Linked DNA regions of Arabidopsis thaliana. The protein of the gene in region 2 purifies or fractionates together with the protein of the main gene of each other region. This does not show direct contact. Each region holds a gene or a part of one and is shown on either strand. Other genes may lie near its edges. The genes, in order: ALATS and AT1G76550.

Region 1 (8,413 bases), about 10 Mb from region 2:
GCTTTTTGGTGTGTCCATTTGCAGAGATATATTGCTTTTTAATAACGAGAAAAATGTTATTTAATACCCTAATTTTCAAATTATAACCGTTTTATACGTCAACTTTATATATGGTCATTTTAAACATGATGTTATCGTTGACCACCATTTAAACCATGAATATTTCGTTGACCAGGCCAAAAAAAATAGTCGTTAACGGATTATTCAACTCCCGTTAACACCTCCGTTAACCATTCTAAACGATGTCGTTTTCGTTACTATAAATCATGTTTTACCCTTTTATAAGCTTTTAAAATCCCTTGTAAATCATTCCAATGCCACTTACTTATGCTTAAAAAAACATTGTAAACCATGCTAGCCCTTTTTAAAAATCCTTGTAAATCATTTTATGCCACTTACTTATGCTTTAAAAACGATGATAAATCATGTTTTACCTTTTTATAAGCTTTTAAAATCCCTTGTAAATCATTCAATGCCACTTACTTATGCTTTAAAAACGATTGTAAATCATGTTTTACCCTTTTATAAGCTTTTAAAATCCCTTGTAAATCATTCAATGCCACTTACTTATGCTTTAAAAACGATTGTAAATCATGTTTTACCCTTTTATAAGCTTTTAAAATCCCTTGTAAATCATTCAATGCCACTTACTTATGCTTAAAAAACGATTGTAAACCATGCTAACCTTTTTTAAATCCCTTGTAAATCATTTTATGCCACTTACTTATGCTTTAAAACGATTGTAAATCATGTTTTACCCTTTTATAAGTTTTCAAAATCCCTTGTAAATCATTCAATGCCACTTACTTATGCTTAAAAAACGATTGTAAATCTTGTAAAACTATTGTAAAAAGTTTTAAAATGATTTACAAAGGTTTAAAAAGGGGTTTTAAAGTATTTACCTATGTTTTTAAAGACTTTATAAAGATTTTAAGAGGTTTTAAAATGATTTACAAGGGTTTTTAGCAATTACCAAAGATTTTAAAAAACTTTACAAGGTTTTTTAAAAGAGTTTTTAAAAAATTTACAAGGATTTTTAAAAGCATTTTTTTTGCTGGGAAACAAAATTTACGAGAAAAAATTTTGGCGGGAAATTTATTTTTGGCGGGATTTTTTTTTTTTTGGCGGGAAAAAAAGGTTTGGAGGTGTTCTTCAATGAATAGGGGTGCTTGATGAGGCTTGTATTAAATGGTAGAAGTCCATGGAGAAATCGAAGTGTTCAAAATCGGAGGTGTTCTTCAATGGAAGCTTTACTATGGAAATGTTTTGTTTCGTTAAAGATGAAGAAGAAGAACTTTAAGCGTATATAAGTATCTGTGTTTGTATAGAATGACAGAGAAATCTTTGCAGGTAGAGTGGTCAAATGACCTTTGATTTTTCTCAAATGATAGGGGTTCGAATCCCAGGTCTGTCATTTCTTTTTAAAGAAAAACGAAAACGACGTCGTTTAGAATGGTTAATGGAGGTGTTAACGGGAGTTGAATAATCCGTTAACGACTAATTTTTTTGGCCTGGTCAATAAAATATTCATGGTTTAAATGGTGATCAACGATAACTTCATGTTTAAAATGACCATATATAAAGTTAACGTATAAAACTGTCATAATTTGAAAGTTGAGGTATTAAATAACATTTTTCCCTTTTAATAACTGTAACCAATATGTAACAGAAATCCATCCAACCCAATTTGATCAATAGCGTAAAAACTCATTATTGTTATAAAATTTTAGGTAGTTTACATCAAAATAATATCATTCATTTTTTATACTATAAAAATAGTATTTAGATTAATATTTAACAAGAATAAGAATAATTTTTATATATAGATCATATCAATCCACATAATAAAAAGAGAAAAACTCAAATATGAAAAAAATTCAAGTAACAAAAATATATTAGAATTACATTTGGTTGATTGGAAAAAAAAAAATTACGTGTAAAACTATAGTATTATCTGAGAAACGAATACAAAAATTTGCAACAGTAGCAGCAAAACAAATTCAAAACTTGCGGCAACGACAACAGCAACAACAACAACGAAACAAACAATAACATGCGAGGCAGTCTCACGGCTAGTGGCAGCAAACCCAACAGTTTATCTAAACGAGAACCAAAATTTACTCTCGTTTTTTTTTTAATGTTATCCTTTGATGAACAAAATGTATTTTCCAAATTTTACTTTTTTTATTTTTTAAGTATTATCCCTTAAAATAATATATCTTGCGGAAAAGGAATCGGATTAAATAAATTTTAACGGTAGAAAATAGGATAGGAGGAGAGAGAGAAGGTCTTTTATTGGTTTGAATGAGATTAGTGAAGGCAGCTTCTCTTCTGATTTCTTCAACCAAACCTCCGTCTAGGGTTTTTTACTCTTCCCATCTCCGCCGCCCTTTTTTCTCTCACTTCCGTTTTTCTTCCTCTTCGTCGACGTCTTCCTCCGTCGCAGTCATGCCGGGTTCCGAACCATCGGAGACTCAGTGGCCAGCAAAGAGAGTCCGGGATACTTATGTCGATTTCTTCAGAGGCAAAGGCCACAAGTTCTGGCCATCAAGCCCCGTTGTTCCTCATAATGATCCTACTCTTCTCTTCGCTAACGCTGGTACGATAACTTCGATTCCTCATATCTGTTTTTGCCGATAAGATTGGGAATTTGTCCAAGTTGATCTATGGAATTCAGATTCTATAGAGTTGACTTATTCTGTCTTCTTTTGTCTTTGAAGCTTTGGGACTTATTCAAATTTCTCAATTTCAGTTTTGGTCGAAATTTTCTGATATTGATACTGAGCTATGTAAATTAAGTTCTCTTGATATGTCTGGCGAAAAATAGAATTATTAATGACATTGAAACTTCTCTGTTTTTCAAGGAATGAACCAGTATAAGCCAATATTTTTGGGTACGGCCGATCCAAATACTGAGCTTAGCAAGCTATCTCGGGCATGTAACACCCAAAAGTGTATTCGTGCTGGTGGAAAGCATAATGATTTGGATGATGTCGGCAAAGATACGTACCATCACACCTTCTTTGAAATGCTTGGTAACTGGTCCTTTGGAGATTATTTCAAGAAGGAAGCTATCGAATGGGCTTGGGAGCTCTTAACCAAGGTAATTAAATACCTGGGAAATTTGTCTCTGTTTACTTGATTTAAGAAAAATATACATGGTATTATTCAGTAAACTATTGTCTCCCTCCCTTGGGACGGTATGTCTCAATTTTGTTAAGTGATTCTTCTCTTTTCATTTGGTTGTACATTTCAGTTTTGTAAAGTGATTCTTCTCTTTTCATTTGGTTGTACATTTCAGTTAGATACCTTGTGACAGTATTTCATAATTTTGTAAAGTTACTATTCTCTTTTCGTTGAGGTTGTTTATTTCATTGAGGTTGATACCTCCCTGTTTTCATGCCTCAGGTCTATGGGCTACCGACTGATCGAATCTACGCTACATATTTTGGCGGTGATGAGAAAGCTGGCCTTCAACCTGATAATGAGGCTAGGGATATATGGTTGAAGGTTCTTCCATCTGGACGTGTGCTGCCATTTGGTTGCAAAGTATGTATTGATTATTTAAGATAATAACTTTTAATCTGTTACCTAATTTTTTTGAATCCACTACTCATTGATTTCCTCTCTCCTGAGGTTACTTCACAAGTACTTCAGCTAAGTTGCCTTTGTATTGTCACCATTGTTTCTTGTATATATTGACACATCTGTTTGTCAATGCTAACGACAACCAACTGTAAGCTTGAATGCATTTTGGCTAGGAATACGCTATCATGTTTGGTAGTTGGCAGGCTTTAAAAACCATTGTTTATGATTTACAGTCAAAATCTTGTACAAAATGTAAAACTTAAGGGTTTTTAAATGCTGTTTTTCTTTCATTTAACTTTTGATTAAACTGCAGGACAATTTCTGGGAAATGGGCGACACAGGTCCGTGTGGACCTTGTACTGAAATACATTATGATCGCATTGGTAACCGTGATGCTGCATCCTTAGTTAACAATGACGATCCAACATGTTTAGAAATATGGAATCTTGTCTTTATTCAGGTACAAACCCTCTCTGTCCCAATTGTTATTTAGTTCCATTTTACTAATCTTTATCTCAATATCACAATTGTTTTAATGATTTTGTAGATTGTGTTACTGAAAACTCTATATTGTGCAGTTAGCTAGATTGTTATTGCTCCTTTAGCTGTGCTATCATATTCCCAATTGTTTCCTCTGACTGGGATGTTACTTATGTCTTCAAAATAGTTCAACCGAGAAAGTGATGGCTCGCTAAAACCTCTGCCTGCTAAGCATGTTGATACCGGGATGGGCTTCGAGAGGTTGACTTCTGTTCTTCAAAACAAAATGAGCAACTATGATACAGATGTGTTCATGCCTATCTTTGATGACATCCAAAAGGTAATTTGTGAAAACTTCTGTTGATGGTTTCATGACAGCTGTTTAATGATGGTTTCATTGAGTTATTTTTGTTTGGCCTCCTCTTAGGGACGCATTTGTCACCTTAATTAGTACTATCATCATTTTAGTTCATCAATTTTGAAGTGGATCATGGGTTCTATGCTTTACGTCGAGACTCCGTCAATTGTTTTTGAATATTTCTGGTTTATTGAATTTGGATTTCATGATAAAGGCATTCTACTATGGGTATCCTGGAGATTATTCGTTGTTAGCTGTGTCACTTTTCATGTATTTTTCTTAGTGAGAGGATTGAAAAAATCTTCAAATTGCTCTGTTTACCCTAGTTGTTGCGAATCTTAAGTTTAGGTGTTGATGCTTTCACTTTTTTAGGCAACGGGAGCTAGGCCATATTCTGGAAAAGTTGGTCCGGAAGATGTTGACAGAGTTGACATGGCATATAGAGTGGTTGCTGATCATATTAGAACCCTATCATTTGCAATTGCGGATGGCTCTCGTCCTGGTATATACTTGGTTTCTTGTCTCAATCACAATTGTGGTGGTTACAGAAAATACAATCGTCTTAGTATTCAATCATTTATTTGAGTTCATACTTATATGTTCTCAGAAAAAGTGTTTTTGGTTCATTTATTCTAAGTTGGGCATGATGAGTTTGTCAATTTTCTTCCTCAGACAATCTGTTATGTTATACAAATAGAGGTTTGTTATTTCTTGTAGTCTAACAAGTACCAATTAATATACTATCTCTTGCAGGTAATGAGGGCCGTGAGTATGTTCTGCGGCGTATTCTTCGTCGAGCGGTTCGCTATGGAAAGGAGATCCTAAAAGCTGAAGAAGGATTTTTCAACGGGTAGGAAATTATGTTTGATTTTCGTTGCATGTTTTGTTTGAATATTGTTTCAAATATTGTTTCGTTGTAGCTGGAACGTTTATTTCTGTCTTGTATCTTTATAAATGAGCATATTTTTTTGACACATGTTTTATCTCGGGCTTTCATATTACCTGTAGGCTTGTAAGTTCTGTCATTCGGGTGATGGGCGATGTCTTTACAGAGTTGAAGGAACATGAGAAAAAGATCACAGATATAATTAAAGAAGAGGAAGCAAGCTTTTGCAAGACCTTGGCAAAGGTAAGGGCTGGATTTAATTTCCGTCAAAGCTTTGAACCTCTTATCTTATTTTGTTTTGGGTTCTTCTGGCTCGTCGCACTGAAGTAAAAGAGACAGTTCACAGCTTCAATCAGTGGCATGTGATATTTCTGTATAGATTGTTTCCAATTTCATCATTGTTCAGTTTTAATGATGGTTAGACATAATTATAGTATTTTCTATAGGGAATCTTTTTTCTGAAAGATGAATTGGCTTTACCTGGTCGTTCCTCCCTTTTTTATGTGAATAGGTGGTGAGTATAAGAACAGTTAGACTGATTATAAATTTTCACGGCAGGGAATTGAGAAATTTCGGAAAGCTGGACAGGCGGTTCAGGGGAATACACTGAGTGGAGATGTACGTATCGAATCATTTTTGTGATGTATGTTAGGCGTTGCAGTATTTTCATCTGGGATGTTTGAATTCTATCTCAACATGTTGTCTTCTCTTTGCAGGATGCTTTTATCTTATGGGATACATATGGTTTCCCGTTAGATTTAACTCAGGTACGTAAGTCATTTATACTTATTTCTGAATGTTCGTGTTATTTTCTAACTTTTATTCTCGGGGTTCAGTTGATGGCTGAAGAAAGAGGGTTACTGGTTGATGTTGATGGTTTCAACAAAGCCATGGAAGAGGCGAGGGAAAGATCGAGAAGTGCCCAGAATAAGGTGTTTCAACTTTCCTCTTGTTTACTTTCTTAAAGAGCGTTTAATGCCAAACTTACGTGTGACTATGAACGAAGTTTGCAATCACATCATCTATTAACCAATCTTTTAATGTCATTTTTTTATAGCAAGCTGGTGGTGCCATTGTTATGGATGCTGATGCTACATCAACATTGCACAAGGCTGGTGTTTCAGCAACAGATGATTCTTTTAAATACATTTGGTTCCAGGTTTGTCCTTTTATTCCAGAAAACTTGCATGTTGCACCTGAAATGTTCTTATGTTGGCGTAGAAATGAAGAAGTTAGGGCATATAATAGTAAATGGATTTTGCTTTAAAGAAACCTTTATTGGTACTCTGCCACATATCGCTGCAGGACCACGAGAGTGAACTAAAGGCAATCTATACTGGCTCTACTTTCCTAGAAAGTTCAGCTGCTAGTGATAACGTGGGACTAGTATTGGGGTCTACAAGCTTCTATGCTGAGCAGGGTGGTCAGGTAATCCATTTTATTTGATATGTATTTTAGTTTGCTAATTGTTTTTCATTTCTGATCATATGACTGGTGGCATGAAATTGCAGTCTTCAGTATGTTCATCTTGGATTTGTATATATATACAAATGTAGACATGGCAGTAACACCATGAACACAATCATATCAGAACTGCATTGTTTGAATTTATGTATCGGCTGGCAAATACCATGATATAGTTATTGTTGGTTTTGCATACTAATTTCTGAAGTTGTCGTTGACAGTCACATAAATATTTTTAGATTTCATATCCATGAACAAGGTTAAGCTTTTGATTCACTTCCAATCATCTATATGTATATAAACTCTGTGCCTCTAACATTTTTTCTCTGGCAATAGATTTTTGACACTGGACTTATAGAAGGCTCGTTTGGGACATTCAATGTATGCAATGTACAAATATTTGGGGGCTTTGTTCTTCACATTGGTTATCTCTCTAAAGAAACTGGAGAGGTATCTGTGGGTGATAAAGTGATTTGCAAGGTAACTCTCTGCATCAAACAGTGTTTGTCTCATTCACCATATTTGGTACTATCCAATTTGTTTCCACCTTCGTTTTCATGCGTATAGGTTGACTATGAGAGGCGTAAACTCATCGCTCCTAATCATACTTGCACACATATGTTGAATTATGCCCTGAAGGTATCCCTTTTCTATAATTTAAGTAACCTAAACTGTGATTTTCTAATTTTTTCTATTGGATCTGAAAATATTCATGTCCCATGAATTCAGGAAGTGCTCGGGGATCATATTGATCAGAAGGGATCAATTGTTCTTCCTGAAAAACTGCGATTTGATTTTTCTCATGGTACATTTTTGAATAAAGTCATTTTTATTTTGATGTGGATGGTCATCTTAATTGTCTGATGGGTTCCATAATTTCGAGTAGGCAAGCCGGTTGATCCTGAAGATTTGAGAAGGATCGAATCCATAGTGAATAAACAGATCAAGGATGAATTAGATGTGTTTTCCAAGGAAGCTGTGCTTTCTGAAGCCAAGCGCATCAAAGGTCTAAGAGCAGTGTTTGGAGAAGTAAGCTGTCCATCAGTTCTGTAGCTATACCTTTTTAGTTTGGTTTCTAAGAATTGTTAAAGCGTTCTCTCTTACTCTTTTTAGGTCTACCCCGATCCCGTCAGAGTGGTGTCAATTGGGAGGAAGGTTGAGGATCTCTTGGCTGATCCTGAAAACAATGAATGGTCATTGCTTTCTTCCGAGTTTTGTGGAGGTCTGTTTCCATTGGCATTAGCTATTGGGACCAAGATATTACGTTCTGAATAGAATGTTGAGTATAGGGTTATTTTGACAATTCCAGGAACCCACATAACAAACACCCGCGAAGCCAAAGCATTTGCTCTTCTATCGGAGGAGGGAATTGCTAAAGGTATTCGTAGGGTAACTGCTGTGACTACTGAATGTGCTTTTGATGCATTGAATGCGGCGTCCTTACTTGAAAGAGAAGTAGAGGATGCCTCCAGAGCGGAGGGAAGTGCATTGGAAAAGGTTTTCTCCCTCTCTTTGTCAAACTATTGACAAAATGAAGACGATGTCGTTACTTGGATTCACGTAAAACTTATTGTGTTTGTATTTGCACATTCACAGAAAGTTTCTGCTTTGAAAAGCCGAGTAGATGCAGCAATTAT
Region 2 (7,579 bases):
AGCCAGAGAACAATTCACCTGTGCAATATCCCGTGACCATGGCAGAATGCCATACCTTTGCATAGTTGATACATCAAGCTCTGCAAATAACTTTTCAGAATGTTATGTTTGGTTCAAGTGAGCACAAATGAAGCGAGAAAGAGAGATGACAGTAATAAGGTGGTTAAAAACCTTGATAGTTTGGGTTGGAATGTTCTTGCCAGTGCTACGGAAACTTCTGATGAATTTCTTGACATCAGTGTCCATGTATTCAAAAACCAGGTACAGTACAGTTTTGCCTTCTTTGCTTAGTCCTTGCTTAACATCCATTAACCTGAAAAAGATGACAAATAAAGTTTCCGTATATAATTGATTTTGCAATCACTGGAAAACTAACTGATACAGCGATCCAGATCAAACTCTAGGGAAACATCTATCAACAGTTTCTCAGAGCCAAATCATCTAACAATTAGTAGACTCTTCGAACTGATTACTACGATTTGAAATTGAGATCTATCTAATCTGGAAAACAAGCGAGATAGTGAGAAATCGACTATATAAACCCTAACGCGACTACAAGATCGAGAATATGGGGGCAATTTTATCGAATCAGAGGTAAAACCCTAACCTGACGACGTGAGGATCACGAGCGAGCATTCGCAAAATGGAGATCTCGCGGAGAGTGGTGGAAGGAACGCCTTCTTCGTCCTCATGGAGACGCGTCTTCTTTAGAGCGACGATTTTCCCGGTAGCTTTCTCTCTGGCTCTGTAAACTTTCCCGTATGTCCCTTCACCAACTTTCTCAAGCTTCTCGAAAGCATCCATGGCGGAAACTGCTATAACTCCCTCGTCCATCGCTCTCTAAAATTCTTCTTCTCCGGCGCTCTCTCTCTCTCAGTTGGTTCTTATTGGGAAAGTGAATTGTCGGAGATCAAAGTGTAGATAGGTTATATAATTAAATGAGACCTGAAATTATAGAATCCTTATTCTTGGGCTTTCACAACGGACTGATTTTTCGAAATTCAAACTGGAGCGTGGAGGAGCGGTCTTTTCATAAACGCCTTTTTTTAATTTGCCACGTACTATAGTATTTAATTTTAATTTTTACATTTATTCATTTGTGTCCACTTGTCATATATATCCGTAGGTACTTTGATTTGGTCGCACCATATACAAATTATGATCGAGAAGGCAACAAGAAGATTAGTGAACCCAAACACAGACTTCTTCATTAAAAAAGCATTACTCAAATCCTTTAACTTTGAATATCCTTTTCCTAAACTCAACTTTGAACAATAAAGTTTGCGTAAATCAGAAGACGACTTCAAAATGGAAAGAGAGAGAGAGAGAGAGAGCTAATGAAGTTTATGGTTAAAGGGAAAACCAAAACAATAAAAAAATCTTTAAGCAAATTGCTGACCGCTGGTGGAAGAAGATGAGATCGTAGTGAGAACATCAGTCACCGAGGCCATAACACTCAATGCCGCTTTCAAAACATCTTGAGAGCAACCCGGTTTCACAATCGTCCTCACCTGATCAAGATACTCCTGCAGCTTCTTGATTTTCCCCATGTAATCCTGGTCTTCTACACACAGACTTACCGCCTTTGCATCTGCACCTGGACCATCATACTGGACTGGTCCTGGGTTTCGGTACATATCTTCCATCAAGAATTTCTGCGCGTTTTGTCTCAATAGACTGCAAAATCATTTGACAAATTATATCACTTGATTTCATGTTCATTCTAATCTTTGTCTAATGAGTGAGGAACAAAAGCTTACTCGTATGCTTTTCCTTTCAAGTCAACTGAAGCTGGATGAATTACAGGTCTACCAATCGTAGTAGAACCAGAATTTTGGGACCAACGCTTAACCGTCATCATTGCCTAAGGTTAAACAGAGAAAGAGATTGGGGTCAGTAAAACTGAAACTTGAAGTCAGAAATCAACACATATACTAAACAACTTTAGCCTTATAAATAAGAGACAAAACTCAACTGAGATAGGCGCAGCCCCGCATTTCCATTTGTTTACAGGACTCTTCAGGTTAGTCACTGTCGCCATGTAACCATTCAAACCAGCTGCGAGGATGTGGTAACATACATGTCCAAGAACCTGCATCAAAGTTATAATCAATGGTGTGAATGTCCATAATATTGAAGTTGCAATAGCATTTTAGTTTGGCGATCACATACATAGGCGTAGTCACAATCGAATTTTGATGGAAGAGATCCACGAGCTTGGTAACCAAAAAAGTGACAGATAGCGTTGAATTTCTTCCCTTTGTAGGTTCCTTCTTTCTGTCATTTTCAAAACTTAGTTTTAGGGACAACTTGAATATTCAGGCAAGGTTATTCAAAAAAATTTGAAAAAAATGGATTGTGACAAGTGAAAAAGATGTGCAACATACCAAGCGCTTGTTCATTTCAGTCTCCACAAGATAAGCCAGAAGTTTCTCCGTCTCAATCTAAGAAGAAAGTAAATGAGCAATTAGAATTCCAACTTTTTATAGCACAGTAACTCCATCATTTTCTTTCTTCTTACCTGGGATAGCTGAGCAGAATCATCAGACTCGGGATGGAGAAGTAGCTGCAGAAACAAAGAAGACAATTTATCATAAGAACACATACTCGTTTACATGTGAGAAAAAACAAAGAAAAGTACCATGTCAAAGAATTAGAACCTGTTTCTTAATGAATGGAGGCAAAAACTCAAACAAAGCAGATGACCAAGATGACAACTGAGTAGAAATATTATCAACCTGCACACCCTCCTTAAGCAATCCATGAATTTCCTGCATCGCACAACAACATGTAAATGCTTACTATGTTTTGGAACTCAAGAAACAATAAAAAATAGCACATTAAATGATAAATAGAAATGTTTGCCAGTATTGAATCGTTACCTTCAACAGAGCATAGAGTTCAGGAATACTCTCAACAAGCCCTTCAGGAATTAGGATGACTCCATGATTTTTGTCTGATACAAATAGACAGTTTATCAATAAAGTTAGGGAACAAGCAAAAGACATCACTTCCAACATACCAAAAGCTCGTTTTAGTTATCAGACCTTGTTCGGCTCTTGCTTGAACAGCATCACAGATTTGTTTTATGATGTCAAATATTGTGAGCTTAGATGCTGTAACCTCCTCACCCAGTATCACCTGAGACAATCGCATCAAATGCAAATGAGAAACTAGATGCAGCATTGCCAAGACTATCGATTGAATATATTCAGAATTTGGAAGAATACCATGTTGGGGTGAGACTGAAGTGTACACTCAAGGGCAACATGTGAATGCTTCCGACCCATGAGACGGACAAAGTAATAATACTGGCAATACGGAGGAAAGTATGTTATTGAGAAGAAAATTTGATAACAGAATCATAAGGAACCCAACTTCGCAATTATCAAACCATAATAAATTTCACATTATTAACCAACAAAATATAGGTTGGTTATGAGTGTCCTAGCAATCTTTCTAAAACATGATAACGTTTGGAAGGAATCAACATTTACCTTCTCTGCTGAAAGGGCATCGGTGCAGATATTGCTAATGAGCTGAGAATTCACCTGTACACAGTAGAATGATATTAGTCTAAATAACGAGTTAAAATGTTATTAACCTGAAAAGAACGGTGAGCGAAATGAAAGAATGTTGGCTACAATACCTACAAAGTAAAAGAAAAAAAAGCGCTAGATTTCAAAGTTACCTTGCATGTAGTATCGAAACCAACATTTGCTTCCACAAACTGATTCTTAAGATCTCCATTAATAGTGACCGGAACACCAACTACCTGAAACATATTGGTAATTTCTGCTGTTAGCGATATCAGGTGAAGTGCAAATGTCACTAAAGTGATTCATGATACAAGATCAGACAAAGAAAGAGAAAAACTGGGAAGAAATTAGGACCTTTGTTGAGCATTTTGCTTCAGCAAAAAATTCAGCAAGATGAGCGGCATCTGTGTTTGATGTTACACCTAACAAATAAAAACATTGATTTAGAAAATTCTGGGATGAACTTAAAAAATCATATTTACACAAGTTAAGAACAAAACATCTACTAAAACAGACACCCGAAAAAGAGGAAAAGTAGGTACCTCCAATGATAACTAGGCTATCCAATTTCAAATCCGTGCATGCTTTTAGTGCAGCATTGACCTGTTCGGTTGTTCTAATCTGATCCTTGGTTCTTCCAAGCATATCATAGCCACCTAATACGACATACATTTAAATGCCATATGTCAGAAAGCAGCAGAGATAAAGTTCTGAATAATCTTAATCAAACCACCAACCACCAACCTTGGTTTTTGTAAGTTTGGAGGACCTCATCAGTGATCTCCAGGGTCTTCTGGGCAAAGAGACCTTCAGAACCACCTGTTACAGGTAGCCAAAGTTTCATATTAATGACCAGGCACACATCAATACGGAAGTAAGATGTGACTTTATAGTAAGCAAACAATGAAGTTACAGAAATAAGAAAACCAACTAACAGATAAAAAACAGGGACTTACCCAAAAATCCAAGCAAAGTGTTCTTCGCGTTGTGCACTTTGAGAGCCTCGTATAGACCCCAAACTACATTGTGCCCACCAGGAGCCTGCCTTCCACAGAACACAATTCCGACCCTACAATAGAAAACAACTAGCTCTAACCAACAACAAAACCACAGAACAAGAAATTCCAGAGATCTATAAATATGCAGATGCATGCACACCTCTTCACTGGATGTTCAGTAATGATCTGAGCATCAGCAACTTTAGCAGTTGCCCTGAGGAAATGAGCCAAAGGCTGGCCTAGAGTATGTGGGAAGGCACGGGCAATGATATGAGCATCACCAGCCTTTGCCACAGTGGTTCCATCACCAAGTTCAACACGGACAGTAGTCCCCTGTAATGTACATTGAATCAATAACGAATTAAACTACGAATCATCCAACCAAAAAAAAAACTACGATTCAATCACTGTTCCAGAAAATCACTCCATCATGGTAGTTCACGTTGAAAGGCAATTCTACCTACCACACTAAACTGAAATGTTAAATCAGACGAGTAAGTATAAAAGGATCATAAACCCTAGATCCCGATTATAATAACAGTGTAAACAGATCTGCATGAACGGAAACAACATTGCAAGTTCCTCGAGTAGACAATCAAAATAAACAGCTCGAAGGGATTCAAAATATTCGCGACGTGACGAAATTGTGAGAAAACGAAACAGCAGAAGAGATGATATCAATGAAAAACATAGAGATCCAAACATTGGAGACAGTGAACGAGAGAAGGAAGCAAGAGATCTAAGGAAGATACGAATATACAAATAAAAGGAAGAAGGAGAAGTACCTGGAGACAAGGAGGAAGCTCAGGGTGGTACTGAGATCGGAGTTGTTGAAGAGGAGAGAGTTCTCTGGGGATTCCGAAATCTGAATCCATGGGCGATAACTTTTTAGGTTTTTGTGAGAAATTAGGTTGGTGAGAGTGTCAGAGAGACTCAGAGAAGATTCAGAGAAAGTTTTTTCCTTTGGCCCGTCAAAAGTATTTATATAGTATGCGGGGGACTTGGGCGATACGATCAACCAAACAGCCAAAATTTGGTCTTCTTCTTTTTTTTCTTTCAGTCCACGCTTTTTCTCGATCAGCCCTTGTTATTCTGGTTATTTACGAAAATGCCATTGGATATAAATATATACCCTTACCTTTTTCGGTTTGGTAATGTTTGGTTAGTGACCAAATTGTCTAATTCGGTTTGGTGTTCATATTTTATGGGTTTTAAAAGGTTTTAGACTGCAAATTTATCGAACTGTATGAGTGTACGTTTGGTTTTAAGTTTAGTTTATAAATGCGGTTAGGTTTTGGTTTAGTTTGAGTTGACAAATTCCCCACCTAAGTGCGACCAAACTTTCAAACTAAGAAAAAATAAAAGCAAAAAATAGGATATGATGATATGCTAAAAGGGAGAGTGAATGAGCACCAAAGGATAGGTGAAGGGTAAATACGGAAATAGCGAGAGAAAAAAAAAGAAGATGGAAATATTGGGGAATATAGCATTCAATAGGGAGATATGCTTTTACATGGTAATTACAAAGGAATAAAGGCAAACATATAGTAAAAGATACGACTCTCTCATTCCCTCTTCCCCAAGTATTATTATTGCCTGATAATTGATAAACTACCCATCGAAAATAAATATTTATTATGCACATGGATCTTTAAAAAAATGGATTTGTTTATTATTTGACCTGATTTGGGCTTTTAATAAGGCTTCTTATTTACTCTGTTGACCGTAGGAAAGGCCTGTCATTATTTAAAGATCTACCAACTGAATTTCATCAGTCAGTATCGATGGGATTAGGTATATTAATGGTAATTGTTATTTTCATAATATAGGCCTAGTGTGATAAGACCTCAAAAACAATAAGCTTTGATATTACGATGAGAGTAGGAGTATATAATAAAAGCATAAGATTATGATGATACAAAGGACATCAAAGTTGGTGAACACCTAGAACAACAAAAGGAGTAGGTAAAAGGGGTCAGCTTTGCATTGTGCTTATCTCAACTACCTTATGAGAAGAAAATAATATTTTTTTCTAAAGTCAAATGTTTGATGAGTGTAGTTTGGATAATGCCGCATTAAAAAAAAAAACGTGAAATGACAATCGAACATTGATGATTGGAGGGCTTATTTGTAATTACGATAACTATAGTCAAACGGCCCAAACCATTAATAATAAAAGGTGAATAAAGAATTTTCTGAAAGACGAAGAAGAGAAACGAAATTCGTAGAAATGATCTCGGGCTCGGCGACGGCGAGTCATGGGAGAGTGTTGCTTCCGTCACAAAGGGAGCGACGGCCCGTCTCAACTGGATCAAATATTTTACGTTTCAGAGAAACAGTACCGAGACAATTCAGCCTGATGATGGTGACGAAGGCGACGGCAAAGTATATGGGGACGAAGATGAGGGAGGAGAAACTATCGGAGATGATAGAGGAGAAAGTGAAGGAAGCGACAGAGGTTTGCGAGGCGGAAGAGATGTCGGAGGAGTGTAGAGTTGCGTGGGACGAAGTTGAAGAAGTGAGTCAAGCCAGAGCAGATCTGAGGATCAAGCTGAAGTTACTGAATCAGGATCCGCTCGAGAGTTTCTGCCAGGAGAATCCAGAGACCGACGAGTGTCGAATCTACGAAGACTAAAATTTGAGTTTTCGTGTTTTTAATGATTGTAGCTAATCTCAAAACAGAGGACTTAGAACAGAGACTGATTCTGATTAATAAATCTCAATCGTCCATTGAAACCGTTGTTCATCGTGTTCACTTACACCGATTGATTTGGAATGAAACTCTGCATTTTGGATCTTTTGCTTTGGAACAAAACGGTTGTTTTGATTGTTTATGGATCTAACGATGTGGCCTGTTACTTAATTGGGCCTATAATCTGGATCCGCCGAGTCCGGGCTTTTTAAAGAACTGGCGAATATCATTACACGTGGCCAGATCCATAACTTTGAAAATTTGGTTATTTTTAATTTTTGTGGAAAATTAGAGACCGCTTCTTGCTCTTCTAACTTCACCTCTGCTTTCTTCTTCTCGAGTGAAACAGA

The links.
Region 1: the proteins of AT1G76550 (region 2) and ALATS fractionate together in Arabidopsis thaliana (co-fractionation; one large-scale study listed by BioGRID). This does not show direct contact.

Annotation. Positions count from the first base shown.
Region 1 is NC_003070.9:18,592,203-18,600,615, reverse strand, and holds the start of ALATS (Alanyl-tRNA synthetase), read left to right. Parts: upstream 1-2,136; 5' UTR 2,137-2,304; coding exon 2,305-2,599; intron 2,600-2,864; coding exon 2,865-3,103; intron 3,104-3,408; coding exon 3,409-3,549; intron 3,550-3,901; coding exon 3,902-4,048; intron 4,049-4,255; coding exon 4,256-4,408; intron 4,409-4,798; coding exon 4,799-4,928; intron 4,929-5,179; coding exon 5,180-5,276; intron 5,277-5,434; coding exon 5,435-5,555; intron 5,556-5,870; coding exon 5,871-5,930; intron 5,931-6,028; coding exon 6,029-6,079; intron 6,080-6,148; coding exon 6,149-6,244; intron 6,245-6,369; coding exon 6,370-6,471; intron 6,472-6,617; coding exon 6,618-6,740; intron 6,741-7,112; coding exon 7,113-7,256; intron 7,257-7,343; coding exon 7,344-7,415; intron 7,416-7,505; coding exon 7,506-7,581; intron 7,582-7,662; coding exon 7,663-7,805; intron 7,806-7,889; coding exon 7,890-7,998; intron 7,999-8,085; coding exon 8,086-8,273; intron 8,274-8,372; and 1 more.
Region 2 is NC_003070.9:28,721,518-28,729,096, forward strand, and holds AT1G76550 (Phosphofructokinase family protein), read right to left. Parts: upstream 5,595-7,579; 5' UTR 5,413-5,594; coding exon 5,323-5,412; intron 4,871-5,322; coding exon 4,698-4,870; intron 4,609-4,697; coding exon 4,496-4,608; intron 4,359-4,495; coding exon 4,284-4,358; intron 4,196-4,283; coding exon 4,082-4,195; intron 3,962-4,081; coding exon 3,894-3,961; intron 3,776-3,893; coding exon 3,692-3,775; intron 3,552-3,691; coding exon 3,498-3,551; intron 3,312-3,497; coding exon 3,231-3,311; intron 3,142-3,230; coding exon 3,048-3,141; intron 2,957-3,047; coding exon 2,883-2,956; intron 2,772-2,882; coding exon 2,661-2,771; intron 2,567-2,660; coding exon 2,522-2,566; intron 2,445-2,521; coding exon 2,388-2,444; intron 2,278-2,387; coding exon 2,173-2,277; intron 2,093-2,172; coding exon 1,976-2,092; intron 1,865-1,975; coding exon 1,761-1,864; intron 1,678-1,760; coding exon 1,383-1,677; 3' UTR 1,140-1,382; downstream 1-1,139. Other genes in the region: CDKB2;1 (cyclin-dependent kinase B2;1), read right to left, coding at 19-80, 172-313, 608-834; CP12-3 (CP12 domain-containing protein 3), read left to right, coding at 6,768-7,172. UniProt on the Arabidopsis thaliana protein: Regulatory subunit of pyrophosphate--fructose 6-phosphate 1-phosphotransferase.